Linked DNA regions of Drosophila melanogaster. The protein of the gene in region 1 purifies or fractionates together with the protein of each later gene. This does not show direct contact. Each region holds a gene or a part of one and is shown on either strand. Other genes may lie near its edges.

The links.
Region 2: the proteins of MFS16 (region 1) and mmy purify together in Drosophila melanogaster (affinity purification with mass spectrometry, with the first as the bait; one large-scale study listed by BioGRID). This does not show direct contact.

The regions. Positions count from the first base shown.
Region 1 is NT_033778.4:21,279,361-21,288,602, reverse strand, and holds MFS16 (major facilitator superfamily transporter 16), read right to left. Parts: upstream 6,306-9,242; 5' UTR 6,061-6,305; coding exon 6,039-6,060; exon of another isoform or gene 5,773-6,038; intron 5,766-5,772; exon of another isoform or gene 5,617-5,765; coding exon 5,391-5,616; intron 5,273-5,390; coding exon 5,121-5,272; intron 5,061-5,120; coding exon 4,492-5,060; intron 4,222-4,491; coding exon 4,011-4,221; intron 3,954-4,010; coding exon 3,805-3,953; intron 3,749-3,804; coding exon 3,377-3,748; 3' UTR 2,924-3,376; downstream 1-2,923. Other genes in the region: CG10505 (uncharacterized protein), read left to right, coding at 1-1,311, 1,376-1,526, 1,587-2,535, 2,592-2,883; CG34203 (uncharacterized protein), read left to right, coding at 7,008-7,022, 7,082-7,411; Rgk3 (Rad, Gem/Kir family member 3), read right to left, coding at 8,658-8,804.
Region 2 is NT_033779.5:6,465,853-6,476,805, reverse strand, and holds mmy (mummy), read left to right. Parts: upstream 1-2,901; 5' UTR 2,902-3,114; coding exon 3,115-3,175; intron 3,176-4,733; exon of another isoform or gene 4,734-4,845; intron 4,846-5,091; coding exon 5,092-5,478; intron 5,479-6,846; coding exon 6,847-7,961; 3' UTR 7,962-8,215; downstream 8,216-10,953. Other genes in the region: CG9536 (uncharacterized protein), read left to right, coding at 61-584, 1,004-1,360, 1,536-2,007; HemK1 (HemK methyltransferase 1), read left to right, coding at 9,198-9,407, 9,467-9,987, 10,042-10,282.

The DNA.
Region 1 (9,242 bases):
GCACAGAGTGGGCGGCTCCACTGCGTACAAAGTGAGACTAAGTGCTTAAGTTTCCGAAAAGTGAGCGCGAGTTGGGACAAGCCGAGCATAAAGCAACCTAGGAAGCCACATATTGAGGGTATCTCCTTTCACATCAACGCAGGCCAGTTTGTGGGCATTGTGGGTAATGTGGGCTCCGGAAAGAGCACCCTTCTTCATGCCATTCTCGGTGAGATCGAGCTCATGCAGGGACGAGTTGAGGTTCATGGCAGGATTAGCTATGCCGCCCAACAGCCGTGGGTATTCCAGGGCAGCATCAGGGAGAACATCCTGTTTGTGGAGCAATACGAGGAGAAGCGATACCGAGCAGTGGTCCATGCGTGTCAGTTGGACAGAGATTTGGAACTACTGCCACGCGGTGATGCCACCGTTGTGGGTGAGCGAGGAATCAGCCTGAGTGGTGGCCAAAAGGCCAGGATTGCGCTAGCCAGAGCAGTGTACCGCCAGGCGGATATCTACCTATTCGACGATCCTCTGGCCGCCGTTGATGCCCAGGTGGGTAAGCTGCTGATGGACAAGTGCTTCCACCGATTGCTGGATGGCAAAATGCGCATTCTAGTCACTCATCATGTCCAGTTGCTCAAGAGTGTGGATCAACTGCTGCTGTTGGAGGGAGGAAAGCTCACCCAGCAGGGTAGCTATGAGGAACTTAAGGACGTTATCACCCACCATGCTGCTCTGGATCTGGAGGCCATCGAGGCGGATAAGCAGCAAGTGAAGCGTGTGCTCAGCCAGGTGGACAGGACGTCAAAGCAGCTAAGCAAGGGAGAAGAAAAGGATCCTGCCACCATCCAGGATGAGAATGGCAATGCCGAACAGCAACTTCAGGGTGCCGTGAGCTACGATACCTATAAGGCTTACTTTCGGGCTCTTGGCGCTCCATTCCTGGTCTGTTTGGTGCTCTCCATGTTTGTCCTGGCCCGAGGATGCCAGGCCGTCATGGACATTTTCATCTCACGATGGGCCACTTGGGAGGAGGATAGAGGGTATGATTCGGTGGATGACTATGAAGCCACTCGCACCAAAATGGTTATCTGGTATACGGTGCTCCTGTTGCTCACTTTGGCATTGTTCCTGCTGCGCACCTTTGGATTCTTCTTCATGTGCCTGCGCATCTCATTGACATTGCACGATCAGCTCTACCATGGGATAATCCGCGCCTGGATGTACTTCTTCAATGCTAATCCATCTGGGAGAGTGCTCAATCGATTCTCCAGCGACATACAGAATGTAGATGTGAATCTGCCACAGGCTATGATGGATTCCCTTCAAGTAAGTACACCTAGCTCAACCACTTCTTCTTTAGTCTCATGCAATTCTTAATCTTGTCCCTTAGTTCCTGGTAGATGTGGTGGCTGTGCTGGTGATCGTGGCCATCGCCAACTATTGGCTGCTCATCCCAGCAGCCATTATGGTTATACTATTGTATTTCTGCCGTGCCCTCTATATAGGCGCCAGTCGAAGTCTGAAGAGGATTGAGAGCTTAAGTAGGTTCAAATTTATCAGAATAATCTAGCCTTACTAACTTTTCTCATTTAACTTAAAAGCACGCAGTCCCATCTACTCGCACACAAACCAAACCTTCCATGGACACTCGACCATTAGGTCCATGGACGCCATGCCGCAGCTGGAACAGACTTTCCATGGCCACCAGAACACAAACTCCTCTGCCCTTTTTCTTTATGTAAGCGCCAACAGGGCGTTTTCCTTCTGGACCGATCTGATTTGCGTGATCTATATCCTGGCGGTGACCTTTAGCTTTCTGGTTATCAATCAGAGCTTCTACAGCGGTGATGTGGGTCTGGCCATCACCCAGTCCATGACATTGGTGATTATGTGCCAGTGGGGAATGCGCCAGACTGCCGAGATGGAGAACAATATGACCAGCGTGGAACGTGTGCTAGAGTACGCCCAGACGCCATCGGAGCCACCACTTGAGAGTCCAAAGAGTGTGAATCTTGCAGCTGAATGGCCGCAAGCGGGTCACCTTCGATTCCAGGATCTTCGCATGAGATATTCCCCGGGAGACGAGGATATTCTTAGAGGACTGAACTTTGAATCCCAGCCCATGGAAAAGATTGGCATTGTGGGACGTACTGGAGCGGGAAAATCCTCTATAATTCAAGCTCTATTCCGATTGGCTCTTAATGAGGGAACCATCGAGATCGATGGACTGGACATTGGTAAACTGGGTCTCCACGACCTGCGAAGTAGAATCTCGATTATCCCACAAGATCCGGTTCTGTTCTCTGGAACACTGCGCTTCAATCTGGATCCATTTGATGAAAAAAGCGACGAGTCCCTGTGGAGTGCATTGGATGACGTCAAACTGAAGAAGCATGTTGCCTCATTGGAAGGAGGTCTCTCCTGTCGCATGCAGGACGGTGGCTCCAACTTCAGCATGGGTCAGAGGCAGCTGGTCTGCTTGGCCAGAGCCATTCTACGACAGAATCGAGTTCTGGTCATGGACGAAGCAACTGCAAATGTGGATACAGAGTAGGTTCTTAAGATATTATTTTCATTTTTTTCGTAATTAACACTTTATCTCTTAGAACTGATATCCTGATCCAAGAAACCATCCAGACCAAGTTTGCTGAGTGCACGGTTCTAACGATCGCTCACAGATTGCACACTGTGATGGACAATGACAGCGTCCTGGTCATGGATGCTGGCCAGATTGTGGAGTTCGGAGCACCTCACAAGCTCCTGCAGCGCAAGGATGGAGCCCTTCTTAAGCTCGTCAATCAGAACGATGCGACCACCGTAAAGTTCCTCAAGAGGATTGCATCAGAGAGTTATATGCGCCGCAACAGAAGAGACTCCTTGACCATTTCCGAAGAATGAGCAAGGATCGCCAGCGGAAGCAGGATTTAACTTAAGCATCGCCATTGAGAAATTGTACTGCCGCGGAGAACAGTCAAATTCGGTTTTATTGGTACGAAAAGTGTACGATAAAGTGTATTTACATAGCAGTAGAATTACGCTAGTACTAATGATAGTTCGGCACTTAAAACGAGGAGACTCTGACACACGCGCGCACACACAAGATTACAACATAGATGTATGTATATATATATATATATATATATGTATGTAGGTAATATATCAAAATTGTAAACTTGATGGATAGCCTAAGATGATGGTAAACATTCCATTTAAAATAACATTAGGTATTGACATGTATGGGTAAAACTAGGATCAGAAACACTCTGATATGCTCTCGAATGAAAAGAAAACGTTCTTTATGTTAGCTATACAAATGCTATGGTATGTACAGAGAACGCTAGAAACAAAAATATATATATGGTCAAACCACATCCGCTTCAGCTTCTTCCTGCTATTCAATCCGAATACGATGCGATGCACGACGCAGTGCAGCGAACTCCTTGAAGACCAGTCGCCCCAGCAGCACCATGGCAATGATGTCGGCAGCGATGAGCATGTGGAAGACATACTGCCATCCGGCGGTGGAGATAAGGCCGGCAAGCAGTGGACCAACTGCCGCTCCGATTGACCCAGTACCATCGATAATGGCCGTCACCGTGGCCAGAGCATTGGCATTTCCCTCCAAGGAGCTGTGCTGGCCCAGCTCTGCACTTACAGAGGTTGTAATCAGGGCATATGGTCCGTTCACAAAGATGCCGACCACAATCAAGAGCACTATGCTGATTGTCATCGACAATGCACCATATTGTTGATACATCAGCAGCTGAAACGAATACATGTTCCTAGTAATGGTTTCTGTGGCTTGTCTAGAGTACTTACAATGGGCGAGGCAACGAACAACATGCCTGTGCAGACGGTGGCCGACATTCCGCTCACATCTGATAGATAGCCCGCAGCTATTGCACCCAAAATACCACCCACATCGAAAAGAGTGGACAAATCAGCGGACAGTTCTGGACCCAATGTGCCTGCATAAGAGGAATCGCTTTATTGACTGTTTTGTATACTATTTTCTGGGCACTTACTGGATTTTTGTATGTAAAGTGGCAGCCAGTACATGAAGGTGTAGCTCACCAGCTTGGTAAAGAACAAACACAGCGAAAACTCTACCACACCGGGTATGAATAAAGCATCGATCAGACTGATGGGACGTCCGCGACCCCTTGGCACCGCCTCTGGTTGAGATCGTGGAAGGATTGGAGTACGTTCGGTGGGAGCAGATCTATAGTTGATTTCCTAAAATAAAATAAGACGAATTTTTAAACTATTTAAAATGGAGTGGCGTGCAAAGCGCAAGATTTACATAAGCAAAAATGGCAGACATAACAAGAAAACCATGGAAATAGTCATGCACTTACAGTTCTCGAAGTTTCGTACCCAAAACTGATCACACACTAACGCCGAGCAAAGTACGTTTTTGAAATCATAATTGCAACATATTGGGAGACCGGGTGTAATGTACATCGCATGCGGAACATCAATGAAAAATCTGAATCTGATACTTACCGCATCGTTATGGCGCACCTGCTCCTCGTCGTCCTGTTCCACATCAGACTCGTTGGCCACGCGACGCTCATGCTGTCCGGCTTGTGGATAACAGCCCACAATCTCCGGCTGATCCACTAGGAAAAGGAAGAGTAAAAATCCAACGGCTGCAATGATAATGCCGGGTACCACAAACGACAGCGCCCAATCGGATTCCACATAATGCGCCGCTATCAGCGTGCCAAGAATGTTTCCAATAGACGTATGACTGTTCCATATACCAAAAATGAGCCCGCGTTTCGACTTTCCAAACCAACGACCCACGAGGGCCACTACACCTGGCCATCCGGTCGTCTGGAAGATGCCAGCGAATATTTGCACTATTATGAAATACCACAAACTATGGATATTGGAGGTGCGAGCAATGCCGAACATGTAAGTGAACACTCCGGTGAGGATCATGCCCATGGACAAGAAGTATCGCAGGGAAACGCGTTCCGCCACGAAACCAGAAGCGAACATAGCGATGGCATAGGAGAAGAGGAAGGCCGAGTCCAGCATTCCAAAGAGTGTGGTGGCATCGGGAACATCTGTAAATTGGCCACTTGTTTATAGGGTAACACGTTAGAAGTGTTAAGGGAAGAACTAACCAAAGGGCGCATATCCACAATCCTGACCCGATGCAGCCAGCGCTGTGGAACAGTTTCCTTGCAGCACCGACTTGACTACGGAGATGGGCTTGCGGCACATGTGATAGCAGGCGTAGGCCAGGAAAGTTAGCACAAACACTGACATCTTGTAGCTGAAATAGACATAATATCAATATCTACCCAATATAGTTATTCATAATATGGGGTCAACTTAACGCTCAGCACTCATTTGCAATGAAATCTTATATTTAGAAGTTATCGCATACTCACAGCAAATCTCTGCGGGCATGGAAGCGGGTGCAGCATTGTCGGGACAGCCGCTGCACAGCCCGGATGCCGAATGGCACGTCGTTGTAGTTATTGCTCATCTTTCGCGTTCTGCCCAATCCCAGTGAAGCTCTCATCGACCGGCGCGGACAGTGGGCGAGGTGCAAGTGCTGCTCGTCCAGGTGGCTGGGTTCCCGAATCCGTTTCGGTTGCGAGTAATGCCAGCTACCTAAAAGAACAATGATCAACAGGTAGGTGGTGAGTGATGTGGTGACTCAGTTCGAGATACATTTTCGGCTTTAAGGGGTGGAAGGTGCAGGTACAGCGGAGTGGGTTGCGGTTTCTGCTGAGGTCGCGGATAAAATTTCCGAACTTATCACCATACATATGTTTCTGCTCCCCAGTTTTCTTGTTTACGTCGTCGTTCCGCTCAAACAATGAAGCTTCGTATCGCAGTCGTAAAACGAAATGCGTTTCCGCTGGCTTTACTATTCTGCTGCGTTGGCGAAAAATATTCAACTTAGATAGTGTTTTGCCGTTTGTGATAAGAAACCGCACGTTTTTTATCTCAACGAACGCCGATCGTTTTATTCCTATACTGTTATCATAGAAGTCTCTTGTTTTTAACGTAATCCATCAATGTTTATTTACTTTTCTGTTCACTTGTCCTCATCAATTTACAGAGTATTTCATAGTCGACGCTTGTCGGATTTCTAAGTCTTTGTTTGTTGTCGCCACCAGATGGAATTTCTTGCGGAATCTAACAGATTGCTTGGGAATAAACACGGCGACATTGAAAAACAGCTTTAGCCACTTAATATTACCGTTAAACACACACTAAACAGCTGCAGTAAACATTACTCCGTCGGAAAATAACAAAATAAAGGTGGAGAAACATCGACTGCTGCCCGCGACTATCGATATGTGCTGCCAGTGTGACCACAGATGCTACGTCTTGTATATTTTAGTATGTTTCCAGAGCGGTATTGCTGGTTTAATTTTCTAAACTGCAGTTATATTTGAAAATTGCATTTGAATAATAATTACTTCAAGAGATCCTTTCTCCTTGGCTGTTTTGTATATATGTATATTTGTATTGAATCTGTGCATTTGCAAGCCACACGTTTAGGTAACGATTGGGATCCACCTACAGCTATAGATTTGGCTTATAAGTTTACTTTAGAAATTAGACGTTGACACTTGATCTCGGAATCGCATTTCCTGAGATCACTGGCTAATTATTTCTTTTGACACGCGACTGAATGAATAAATACAAATTACTCATTGTTGAAATTCCGCTTGTTGACAACAGACTACTAGCAGGGGAAAATACAACAGACCGCGTGCACATCACCTGGCTTTTCAATCAGACTCGACTGAGAGCGGAAAATGCTCTGGATTTTTCCACACTTATACGCTAATTTCCTCCGCTTCCAGTGCGAAAATCAAGGCGGGAAACAAGAACAATTGCAGGTGCTAATAACGGCGGGCAAAAAAACTTTGCCAATAGTATAAAATGTGGGAATTAGCCAAGTTGAACCACACTTAACAACCAGCAGTTCAGCAAAGAACAAGTCGATTTTATATCAGTACTTAAAATCTAAAAAACTTACCATTAAAATGCGTTGCAACAAGGTATGTTCGATTGGCAACCTTTAAAGTATTTGTTGCTAATATATGTATCCATATAATAGATTATTTTCCAACTTATTGCCTGTTTTGTGATCATTGAGCTTGTGCTCGGTTATCCCCAAGATCGTTTCACATCAGCGGAACAGATTCAACAACTAAGTGATGCCAATGAAGGGGATGCTCATCCAGAGATCTCTTCCAGCAGTGAAACCCTTAGAAATTTATACAGATACGAGCGCACTCTGAGCAGATTACGAAGAGCTCTGGAGGAGTTGGCCTATGAGGAGGCGGCCGATGATATGGAACTGGCCGAGATTAATGTTTTCCGGCCACTCTTCCGTTACCGATCTCAGGTGGTGAAGGTGAAGAATCCGCAGCAGCAGTTTGGTTAACTAAACTCTTTAGTCTTAAGATCATCGCCTCATCTAATGTCAATAGATAGTCATATGCCATTGATATCTTTTATACAAACCTAGCCTGTTAAGGAGTAATATAGAACTTATTTATATTGTTAAACATTTAAATATTTTATTGTTTCATTTGTTTGAGCCTACGCGCCTTGCAAATATACACACGTGATTAAGCATATGTACACACCGATCTATGTGGTTCTCATTAGAGTTAGGTATATTATTGTAGTTACTTTTCATGTTTCCACTTTGAGCACATTTACTTAAAGGCTTTTGTGGAGGACACGCGAATTCCTTGCATTGCACTATTTCTTGGAAGGATTCCTAATATAAACACACCGACACACACATACATATTTGACTAAGGAAGACACAAAGAATATTGACTGCTAACGCTACAATATAAATATAAATATAAATATATATGTATATATATATACGATGGATCATCGAGGGCTATTTCTTTTTTTTTATGTTTTTATTTTAAATCTGTCTACGCAGCTAGCTAACTCCCTGTAAGACTTCCCTAAGCTGCTGAAAACGAAAATAACAAAGTGCTGCAATCCGACTTTAACACATACTCTATATAAATATTATATGAAAATCGTTACTCTTCGGTTAAATATATAGTATATATAACTATCTTTTTTGCTGCGAACATTTTGCACACCTTTATTCTGCTTGTAAACAGCTAAGCCGCTAGCTTATGAAAAATATCGACCCCCCCCTCCCTCCACTTGCTCCTGGCTTAGAAAAGTTACTAAAGTTGCTAGTTAAGTACATAAGTAGTGTTGTTCTCTGTTCTGTTGTGTTTAGTTTAGTTTAGCTTAGTTAGGTTTAGTTAGAATTTTTGGTTTTGCTCCTTTCGCTTGGTTCCATTAAGTTGCTCATACGCATAGTCGCTGCAAGCGTTGCACATACATATGTACGTCCCTAGGTTTTACATTAAATTTGATTTAATTTTTGATTATCAGGCTTACGTTAGACACTACAAATAGCTGGCTGCACGCACACACACACACACACACACCCACTCCTCGGTATGCAAATGGCTGCTTACAGGCGAATTGGAGAGCTTCGAAATCTCGAAACCTGTTTACATATTAGATGAGCCCATCTGGAGCACTTAGAGATAAAGCTTTACACATACATATTCACATATCAACACACTTAGCCGCTAAGTACATATACTCGTATAGACCTATAGATTTTGGATCGATTTGCCCTTTTAGAGCACCTGCAGATTCTCGCAGTGCTTGAACTTGGAGTCCTCCTTGCCCAGGATCCAGGTGAGCATCTGGCGGGCCTTCATGCTGGCCAGCATCACGCTGCGGCTTTTGTACCAATGCGCCGGCGAATTGGCGTCCCTTGGTCCCTGAAATGGGCCAAAATATTAGATAAATCACATTTACTCTACTCTATGTATTCGCCAAAAGGAACAAATGCTTCACTTGGGTGGGCGGGGATTTACGGGCTTTATTTACATTTGGCTCTCTATTCAACTGCATTTTTATGGCCCTGCAGTTTTGTGGTTATTCCATTTTTGGGGCGCCAATTGAAGTTTGCATTTTTCATGTCCTTTGTGCGGATTCTGGGAGTGGGCACAGGATGATAAACAACAAACAAACAAAACACTTTTGGCAGTGTGCTTGGAATAGTTTCTCTACACTTGGACACTTGACACATTTTCTTCTTGTTGGCAAACAGGCACAAGTTCTTTTGGCGAAAGTTCAGGGCGCTTCTATATATATTATGAATACAATCAACAACGCATAAACAGGGAGTTATGGCTCGGATTTTATTGGATTTCACA
Region 2 (10,953 bases), on another chromosome or scaffold:
CCCAGGAGCTGCGAGGCCAACGAAAAACGCGTGCGAACACCAGGAGAAGCGATCGGTGCCATGTCAGCTCAACTGGCCAGAAACTGGCCGTACATCTGGCAACAGCTCAATGCTCTGCTGCACAACACCTCGCCGGTCATAACGCTCATCTGCGTGGTGACCACGTTCGGCTACCTGCTATCCTTCTCGGAGACGGCCATCCTGCTGCTCAGCGTCACTCCCGGTTACATCCTGCCCAATGGCAAGTTCTGGATATGGACCGCCTTCACGTTCTGCTTCATCGAGCTGCACTGGTGGGAGGTGGCCGTCGACGTGGTCACCGTCGGCCTGTGCGGCAAGATGCTGGAACCGCTCTGGGGCCAGCTGGAGATGTTCAAGTTCTTCGCGCTGAGCAACTTTGGCGTCTCGCTGCTGACCACTGTCTACTATTTGTTCTACTACATGGTCACCAAGAACCCGACCATTCTCTTCGAGGTGCACATTCACGGCCTGGCCGGATACGTGGCTGGCATCTGCGTAGCCGTACGCCAGATAATGCCCGATCACCTGATCTTCAAGACGCGCTACGGACGTCTGACCAATAGGTGAGATAATTGATTGATATGTTTCCATTTCAGAGTCACACGGTAGCTAAGAGCTCGCTTTAGAAAGTTTAGTCTTAGAAATCTCTCGATTATTTCCAAATATGGCTTTAAACCTAAAAAGATACATTCACAGAATCAAAGAGCGGTAATTTTTCATACTCTGCCCCTAGATTTAAATGGGCGCAAGCTCAATAAATTGAATAGAATTTACTGGCTCATCAGCCCTTTAACTTTGGGTCAAAGTTCAATAAATATTGGTTTACTAACGCGCAAGTAAATACCCTCGAGAATTCTATGAAATGATACTTTGTAAATAATAACAAACACACCATTGTTTAAGATACTATATTGTATTTCTCAAAGTAAATCCTGAATCATAGCCGCCACTTGAATATACAAATGTACTCTTTACTACTCAGGAACGTTCCCCTCACGGTGCTCATCATGGCCATCATACTGTGGGCCATTGGCCTGCTAGATGGCACTTATCCGGCTATGTTCGCCTCCGGATCGCTGGTTTCTTGGATCTATCTCCGCTTCTATCAACACCATCCCAATGGGCGTGGCGACAGCTCGGAGAGCTTCACGTTCGTCAGCTTCTTCCCAAACGTATCACAGCCGTTTATCAGCGTATTGGTTAATCCCATTTACAATTGCTGTTTGCGGGCGGGCGTGGTCAAGACGCCCACGCCGCTGCGGACGATATCTACGGCCAGCCTGACGTCGGTATCGGTGCAAATGCCGGGAGTGGATCCGCATGACATTGAGAGAAGGCGGTAAGTAAGCTAGCAGTTTAACTGGATTGTCTCGATATCAATTTAAGTACGCTTATCTAAAGAGCCACTAAACATTTAATCACAACAGGCTAATAATTGCTCATTAGATAAGAGTTTTTGCATTAGCCTAAATAATTATAATGTTTACATTGTGATTTTTTTTCTTCGATCCTAGACAAATTGCCTTGAAGGCGCTAAGTGAGCGCCTAAAGGCCACGGACTCCAGCCGCCACGCCCAGCTGCCCAAGTCGTTCCCGCAGCAGCAGCAGCTGCAACATCATCATCACCAGCACGCGCCGCACCAGCAGCAAAAGCATCACAGTCACGGCACTGGCCACAGTCACAGCCATGGAGCGGGCCATAGTCATAGTCATGGAGCGGGACACAGTCATGGGCCCGGTCCTGCTCAGATGCCGCAGCCCGACTTCCTGAAGTCCACCGGCAGCGCCAGCCAGCTGCCCATCACAACGTCGCGGGCGGAGCCGCGCATGATCAGCACCATGAGCCCGATTGCAATACCAATGCCGGCGCCACCGCCCAAGGAGGGTAATGTTCCGGGTCAAGGTGCTGAATCCTCCTCCAGCGGAGGTGTCGAGGCGACCCTTATTAACCTGGACGACGTACCAACCACGTCTTCGATGGCCTAGACAGTGATTCTATGCATATATTAATGAATTTTTGATATTTAAACGAATGATCTAATGATTTACGCCCATGTTTTGTATGATTCTGCATCAAGTACGTACCCCCCATCAGTGTTCCCATTTTGTAATTACCGTTCGTGTGTTTCGTAGTGTCCTGTAGACTTACGCTTGCTTGCTGCGCACACCGCCGGCCATGCTGCTAGGAGCGGCGGAGTAATATGAGATCAGCCTAAACCAATACCTTCCGGGCGTTATGAAAATACTAGAGCCCTTACATAGATGCATACTTTCTGTTGTAGTCCTTACATGTAATTGAAAATGATGCTTTATTTAGTTAATAACTGTAAATATATTTAAAACTCCGAAAATGTCGTTGTTTCTGACTCGAAAAGCTTATGAATGCTGAAAACGTATGCGAATTACTAACAATTGCAGTGGGGTCGTTCATATGCCATTCATGCCTTTACTACTTTTAAAAAAAATTTTTAAATTGCTAATATATGTGTTTGCAATATTTTACTATCCACTTCTAAGCAAAGATTTTTTCTTAAGAAATGTACATTCATTATACGCGTATATATAAAGATTAAGCCATTTTACCGAACAAACATTCATTCAGAATGTTTAATTAACGTCAATTAATGCCAGATTAACAAATTTTTAACTATAGTAATTTTAACGAAAAATGGTAAAATAAAGTCTGACATTATAAAATAGATTTAAAAATTCAAAAATTTCGAAAAATAAAGTTTTAATAATAATTCTTTGTATGTTTTTGTATTTAATTTTTAATATTTTTCGAATTATGCACTTGGTATTTTTTCGATGGCCCAGCGTAGTACGCCCACCCCTCAACGGTCACACTGGCGGCCAGCTGGATTCGCTTGTAATCGATATCGATTCTCCGCCCAGTTCTTGGGAGACTGTTTCATTCGGATTGTGCATTTTCCGTTTGCCCATGTAATCAACAGCCGCACGCAGTGTGAATTAAACCTCGTCAGGACTAGCACGATGCCATAGAATCCTCGACGGACGAGGCACAGTCACTGCATAAACAATTCGCACGGAGTGAAGTGGAGCCAAAAGTAATACAGGGTGTTCCCAGACAAAATGGGTCGCAGCAACTTCAGTTCGCATCACCAGCAGACTCATGTGAGGCGCCACCGCAATGGTTAGTTGGTAAAAACCCACTCGAAAAAGCAAACTGATAATGGTAGCGCAATAGTTGGAGCCCAGAGCTGCGATAAGAAAAAAGCGGAAAGCCCACAATCACACACACACACACAGCAGTGGGTGTATGTAAACAACTTACTTGCTATCGCTGTTTTGTTCCGTTTTTGGGTACTTGTGTGTGTGTGTGTGTGTGCGGGGAGTGTTTTTGTTGCTGCAGCTTTATCTTTTTTTTTATGCGCACTCATACATGCAGACAAGTGTTTTGCTTCGTGGCAAAAACAACAATAATGGTCAGTGTAGCGAATGTAAAATACCCTCTTATCACTCCTTAAATGTATTTTTTACCCCGTTTTCCTTAAATCGATATAGATATATATTGATTTGTTATACATTTATACATTTTTATTTATATGACATCTTATCTTATCTTATAAAGATGCATATAATGGTGATATTTTTCAATTACTGTTATTCTTGTTGATACCTTATTATTGCGCTTACTTTTCCATTCCATAATATTTAATATAAACCATTGCGCTTAAGTTAATGGGTATTAAAACCGAATAAACCGGCTGAGCACCGACTTAGTTTTGCCATGTTTTTGTCAGTTCTTGGCTCGCCTTAATGCCATAACCTTTCCAACAAATCCCGATAACCCACTCAACTAGTTTGTAACCCGTTTATCAGGAACTGAACTGTATGAACTATATATAAATATGTGTCGCCCTTAGGAGTTTCCTTGTGGCTGGCGTTTCTTGGACTGTGGCACCTCTTACTTTCACTAAAACTAAAGCCCGTGTTCAGGGCCATTTGGTTTCGAATTCGATTTCGGTTTCTGATATTTCGCTTTGCATTTGCAACACGCTGCTGCTTGGCGAATTGGCCAAGCAGCGAAAATCCGATTGAAATTGCTGCAGTCCCAGTAGCCGTATCAGCCGTGTAATCAAGAGAGCCGACCGCAGACACGACTAATTGATACCCTCACTCACAAGTTACATGTTCTTAAGTCTTAAGTCGTTGGGAATTCCCGCATTCCTCTTATTCAATTTTAATAAAAACAAGGTTGAGCTCATTAAGATCACTTAACAGATGTACATACATACAAATATTTATATCTACATATGTAGAAATACGAAGCAAAGCTGTTAAATTATAATTATAACTTTTACGTTTCACCTATAAGGAATATGTTTCTCTTTCGCTTTCTGAAACAGATTATAATTAAACAATGTAGTATCTAATACCAAAAAGAGACTGTGATTGATTGGGCACATTTTCCGCCATGATCGCGATCCCGCCCTTCAGGTTTTTACAGGGTATGGCCAAAACAACTGGCGTGGCCATGTTAAAACGCGGCTGCAAATACGTTAAGAGACACACGTTCGCACACATTCGCGCCCAAATACCAGATACCAATATAACCTGCACACGAGCTACTGCCATTCAGATATTCAGGCGTTCCCACAGAGACACAACCAGATGGAGGCGAAGGCGATGGTGGTTGTCTGACGGCTCCACTTTGAGCAAGAAAAACCACTGAGGGCGATCGCTTGGCGCTCAGTTGCGCTTTGGTTACCACGTATAGCGGAACGCAACAAAGCCCGGACAACCCGACCACTGTCTTTTTACCGCATTCGCCAAATAATCAGTCAGCCAGCGGAGAGAAACGTAAATACACACCTTCGGGAGAGCCCGTTCCATTAGCTGAATTAACAAACAGATAGCAGCAATTAATATATGATTCCAATGTGATCTCTAAAGATAAAACCTTGTTTTTAACTGTGTGTTCGCATTTAAAATGTTCCAAAATTATGGTGAAGAATATAACGTATTAAGTAGGATACCGCGTAATAATATTTTGTCTCTATTGTTTATAATTTGTTAGTCAAATATCTTGTCTCTGGATTCTTGCAGCTGGCGGTGCCACATCAAAATCACCAAACGCAGCCAAAACTTCGCCAACAATGACGGACTACCTGTCGCTGCACTCGCGACTCGCCCAGGTGGGCCAGGAGCACCTGCTCAAGTTCTGGCCGGAACTAACGAATGACGAACGCATCGACCTGGTGCGGGACATCGAGGAGCTGAATCTGGACGAGATCAAGCTGTATTTCGACCGCGCCACGGTCTCAATGAACGAGAATGGCATCAAGCTGGACGATCGCCTGCAGCCGCTGCCCGAGGGCAAGCTAATCTCCATTGCCAGGGCGCCGCTGGAGAAATTGGACGCCTACCGAGACGAGGGTCTCCTCCAGATCAGCAACGGACATGTCGCTGTGCTGCTTATGGCAGGCGGACAAGGTGAGCTGGAGTTTCTCTAATTTAACAGAAAAAACAGAATAATAGCTAGGGAAATAGTACACCTGTGTTTAGTTGGTAGCATATTTAAGTCAATAGTGTGATTATGGAGCAATTTGACGCACTGGAAGTGGGACAGACCTTTGTGGGTCCAGTTGGTAGTGTTGTATGGCGTTTATATAAACTTCAGATAGCAATGGATTTTAAGTCGTCAATCATTGATAGCAAAAACGATTAGGTTATTCGAAAATGAACGATTTTCGTTTTGAGACTTACCATAATGGTTTTTAACGTTTCCAATGCGCGAGCACGATATGGTAGTCAGTTTAAAAATCAAAATATATACAAATCAAAGGCTACAAGTAAAGAAATTTTCCATTGCACTCATAGTTCGTTCGTTTCAGAGTTCACATTTGCTTGTATCTCTGAAAGATACTTCCTTAGATACCGTACAAGTTGAGATATTTTTATCATGCCCCAATCGGCTACCCATCAAAAAAAAAAATTGCGCCTTTGCGAGCAAAAAACATAGTGTAAGCCGAACTAAAACAGAAACTTGAGCATTCGCAGAGTGTGTGTGCTTTATAAAAGCTAATTAACTCGATATAAAAGTGCTCACAAATACACGCAATCCCAATCAGCTGCCCACTCATGCAGCTGCATTGTAATAATTGCAATTGTAATTCCGTTTGCAAGACAAAAAGCGTATAAAACTAAGAAACACGCCAGGCCAGCAGCAATGTGGAAGGCATTCTTACAGCCCCAGACTTGCCTTTCTCATTTTGATTTCAGGCGGGGCCAGTGCTCTTTCGAATCGAAACATTGAAATGTGGGCGGCATTTGACATTTCCTTACCAGTTTCTTGGGCAAACGCTGGAGTCCAATCACGTAATTGTCTTTTGAGAAACCAAGAAACGGAGTTGAACACCGATTGCTCATAGCATTATTTCTTGCACGTTCAAATTCGAGAAGAGTCATAAGTAGTGAACCTAGATAACGGTTTCTGATTTCTGAGAATTTCTGGTCAGGAGTGGAGGTTCCGTTTGCTGTACCGATAAGCCGTAGATTAAATGTAGTCAGATCATTTTGAAACCGGTAGTGGAACTGACCTTAAACAAGCCAGCTTGTATCTTATATACATATATGTTAAAAAAGGCGCAGACAAAAGACAACCTAAAGAGCGAAACGATGGTCGAAAATAAACTTGTTTTTAAGGTCAGCCGGGTGAGATATAAAAAATGCAGCAGTTCTTGTCGTTAACAAGTGATTAATACATTCAGGAATTGTTATCTATATACATACTGCAATAATTATTATATTGGGGAACTGTATTGGTGGAAACCTTCGTAATGTTGTCCTTTCTCTTTGCAGGCACACGACTTGGCTTCGATCATCCCAAGGGAATGTACGATGTGGGACTGCAGTCTCGAAAGACCCTGTTCCGCATTCAGGCCGAGCGAATCCTGAAGCTGGAGGAGCTCGCCCAAGAGGCGAATGGAAAACGTGGACACATCACTTGGTACATCATGACGTCGGAGCACACGGTGCAACCCACATACGACTACTTTGTGGCCAATAACTTCTTTGGCCTGAAGGCGGAGAACGTACTGTTGTTCGAGCAGGGATCACTGCCGTGCTTTGAATACGATGGACGCATCATTCTGGACGAAAAGCATCGGGTGGCGCGTGCGCCGGACGGCAACGGAGGAATCTATCGGGCTATGAAGCGCCAGGGGATTCTGGACGATATGCAGAAGCGTGGTGTCTTATATCTGCATGCCCATAGCGTGGACAACATCCTGATCAAGGTGGCCGATCCCGTTTTTATCGGCTACTGCGTGCAGGAGAAGGCCGACTGCGCCGCTAAGGTGGTGGAGAAGGCAGCTCCCAACGAGGCTGTGGGCGTGGTGGCCATTGTCGATGGCAAATACCAGGTGGTGGAGTACAGCGAAATCTCGGCCAAAACAGCCGAGATGCGCAATTCAGACGGCAGGCTGACCTTCAGTGCTGGCAACATTTGCAATCACTTCTTCAGCTCGAACTTCCTGCAGAAGATTGGCAGCACATACGAGCAGGAGCTGAAGCTGCACGTGGCCAAGAAGAAGATTCCCTTCGTGGACAACGCCGGCAAGCGTCTAACGCCCGACAAGCCGAACGGCATCAAGATAGAGAAGTTTGTCTTTGACGTCTTCGAGTTCGCCCAGAAGTTCGTGGCCATGGAAGTGCCACGCGACGAAGAGTTCAGCGCGCTAAAGAACTCCGATGCAGCTGGCAAGGATTGCCCCAGTACTGCCCGCTCGGACCTCCATCGCCTGCACAAGAAGTATATCGAAGGCGCCGGTGGCATTGTGCATGGCGAAGTCTGCGAGATCTCGCCCTTCGTCACCTACGCCGGCGAGAATCTCGCCTCGCATGTGGAGGGCAAGTCGTTCACCAGTCCCGTCTACCTGCGGGACAGCCGCGATCCCTTGCACGGACACCTTTAAGATGTAGGGGATCTGCATGGACGCATAGACTGATGGACGGATAGTAGTCGTTTCGATTATTTGTAAATCTTTCGTATACCGTTGATGAACTTTATGATTCCCCAAACTGTAGTTAGTGCACGGAAATTCCATTGATTTCAGTACTTAAAGGAGACTTGTAAAAATTTGTTACCTATTGTGTCCGTTGATTTATTTTTCGTTTTTGAAATAATTGTGCAATCGTAATGTGAATATATACAATATATAGAACATGTAATGATATGAATATTTTAATATGTTGTAAAATACAAAAATTATTAGTACGGCCAAGCGATTGAATTTTCACTTCTTGGTCAAGCAATGGATCTTTTGCAGAAATACTCTAGACCAATCCCATATTTGAACAAGCGCCATTCTCTATTTACAAGGTTGTTAAATAGATATCAGGGAAATGTCTTGTTGGATGGACTAATCATATAAAAGCAATTGCTGGGCAAACAAACCTCTTGTTTTCGTGCCAACTTGAGTTCTAAAGAAAAGAGTTACCTTAACTATGTAAACCCATTTAGTTGGAAGTTCTTTTGCTAAGAAGTCATTATTTTTGTATCCAGAATATCTCAGAATATATTAACTATCTATCTGATTATGTAATGCTCTTGGTTTCTTATAAAATTTACATATTATATAGACGTCAGAGCTCATATGCTTCAAACCAGTTCTAATTTGCATTGATTATTGATGGACCAGTAGTAGTTTAGCTATTTTCCTACGTTTCAGACTAGGGACTTACATTAAACTAGACCAAGCTAGTCAGGAATATTCTTAAAAAAAGTATTAAAAAGCTTAACGAGCTTTGCTACTTTCTCTTACAGTTATTTTATTCATGTACATACATACATATATTATTATAATTCACCATTATAACTCCCCCTTTTCATATTGTTATGCTTAATAGACCTATTTCCGCAACAATAAACAAAAAGGGCCGACTGCAATCAGTGCGTGAACACTTGATATTGCTTTTCCATTTAATTGGAACAACCTAATTATGTTGCATGTTTAAATTTTCCGCCAAGAACTCGAAAATTAAGTCACACTATTCCGCTCTACGGTAACACTTGAAGCGTGAACACTTTTCAAATATCGACCACTGGTTTATTGTAACGGTCGAGAAACGGTCACGCTGGAACGAACTGCAGGCAGTGGGTCGTCAAAATTTTGTTGTTAATCAATAGCAATTAGATAATAAGTGAAATAATGCTCAGACAACTGACACGGTCAATGGGCCCGACCTCGCGGCTGCTTAAGCAGGTCAACTATGGCACAAATGCCCCAGCTGGCACCCACATTCCCGTGACCAAGGCCCTGGAAATTGGACAGTGGGAGGAAAAGCTCAAGGCCGCCGGCGTCGAGGACAGGAAGTTCAACGTGAAATGCATCGTGTCGCATGTCCTGAAGCAGAAGTTTGTAAGTATCTGTGAGAAAAGCTGGCTATCAACATCACTAACCATGTTTACGTTCCGTAGAGTTCGGTTCCTGACTCATTTGACCAGCTGCAGCTAAATCCCGGCCAGCTGGCGGATTTCGAGCGCTTCCTGGAGGCCCGTTGTGCCCGCATGCCGTTGCAGCACATCATTGGCGAGTGGGACTTCATGGACATTACGCTGAAGACATCGCCGTCGGTCTTCATTCCACGCCCCGAAACGGAGGAGTTTATGCGCCTGGTGATCGATGATCACAAGAACGCAAAGCACGTCGATCTTTTGGAGGTGGGCTGCGGCTCGGGCGCCATGTCCTTGTCCATGCTACACAGTCTGCCGCAGGTGGTGGCCACTGCCATTGAGCGTAGCAAGGCGGCAACCGTTCTGGCTGCGGAGAATGCCAAAATGCTGGGGCTGCTGAATCGATTTGAGGTACACAACCACACCATGGAGGAGGACAAGTACCTGCCGGAGGCGCTGAAGGACAAGAAGTACGATTTGATCATCTCCAATCCTCCGTATGTGAAAACTGAGGAGTTTCAGTTTCTGCATCCCGAAGTCGTGGTGTAAGTGATGTTATACCAGATGGATGCAGTGCACTAACTATCTTATATCCCCAGGTATGAGAACCTTAATGCCCTGGACGGTGGGTCCGATGGATTGAGGGTGGCTCGACTGGTTTTCGACTTGGCTTGTCGGCACCTGCGTCCCGGTGGCAAGCTCTGGCTGGAACTGGGCAACGACCACCCGCCGATGGTGAAGACCATTATGAATCTGAAGTACGAGGGCCGGCTCAAGTTCATCGCCGGCTACAGTGACCAGTATCAGCGCGAGAGATTCGTTCAGATCGAGAAGGTCTAGGCGAGATTGCGCCATAGACAGGACGGAATGCTATGACTTTGACAATGCAATTAGCTATAACGTTGCCCATGCATTTAGCTGTGATTTGATTTAAGACCAGACATACCTGCACGCTGCCCAGAGACTCACACCTATATAAACAGAATATATAGCGCTATTAATCCTTAAGTTTCGTCTCTGAATCTTTTAGCAACAACCGCAGGCGGTATTACTTCACAAATATACCTGTATAAATTGCACAATGCAATTAGCTGTTTGATTTATGACCATATTATTATCAGTATACAAAAACCACAACGACTTTTACCTAAGGCTTTCTACTGCATTTTTGATCCTATAATAATGGATTAACATGATTTTAAAGATCAATAGGTTAAAAGTATAATGCACCTATAATAACTGGTCACTGATTTAAACTATGGCGATTATGATTTATAACCAGAGGCTTGCTGCCATAAATTGGAGGGTGTTAATGATCATCGCGGATCGAGTATAATGCTGTTTAATCAAACTGATGTATTCTATATCTGCGATAAGCAAAATGCTAACCATATTTTTGGCCTGAAAGATGTGTATCCTGTCAATATATAGAATCAGAATATTTCTATGCAAATTAGAAAGTTTTTGCTTAAAGTTACCACTTTAATGCTTATAGGTGTACTGATTATGAA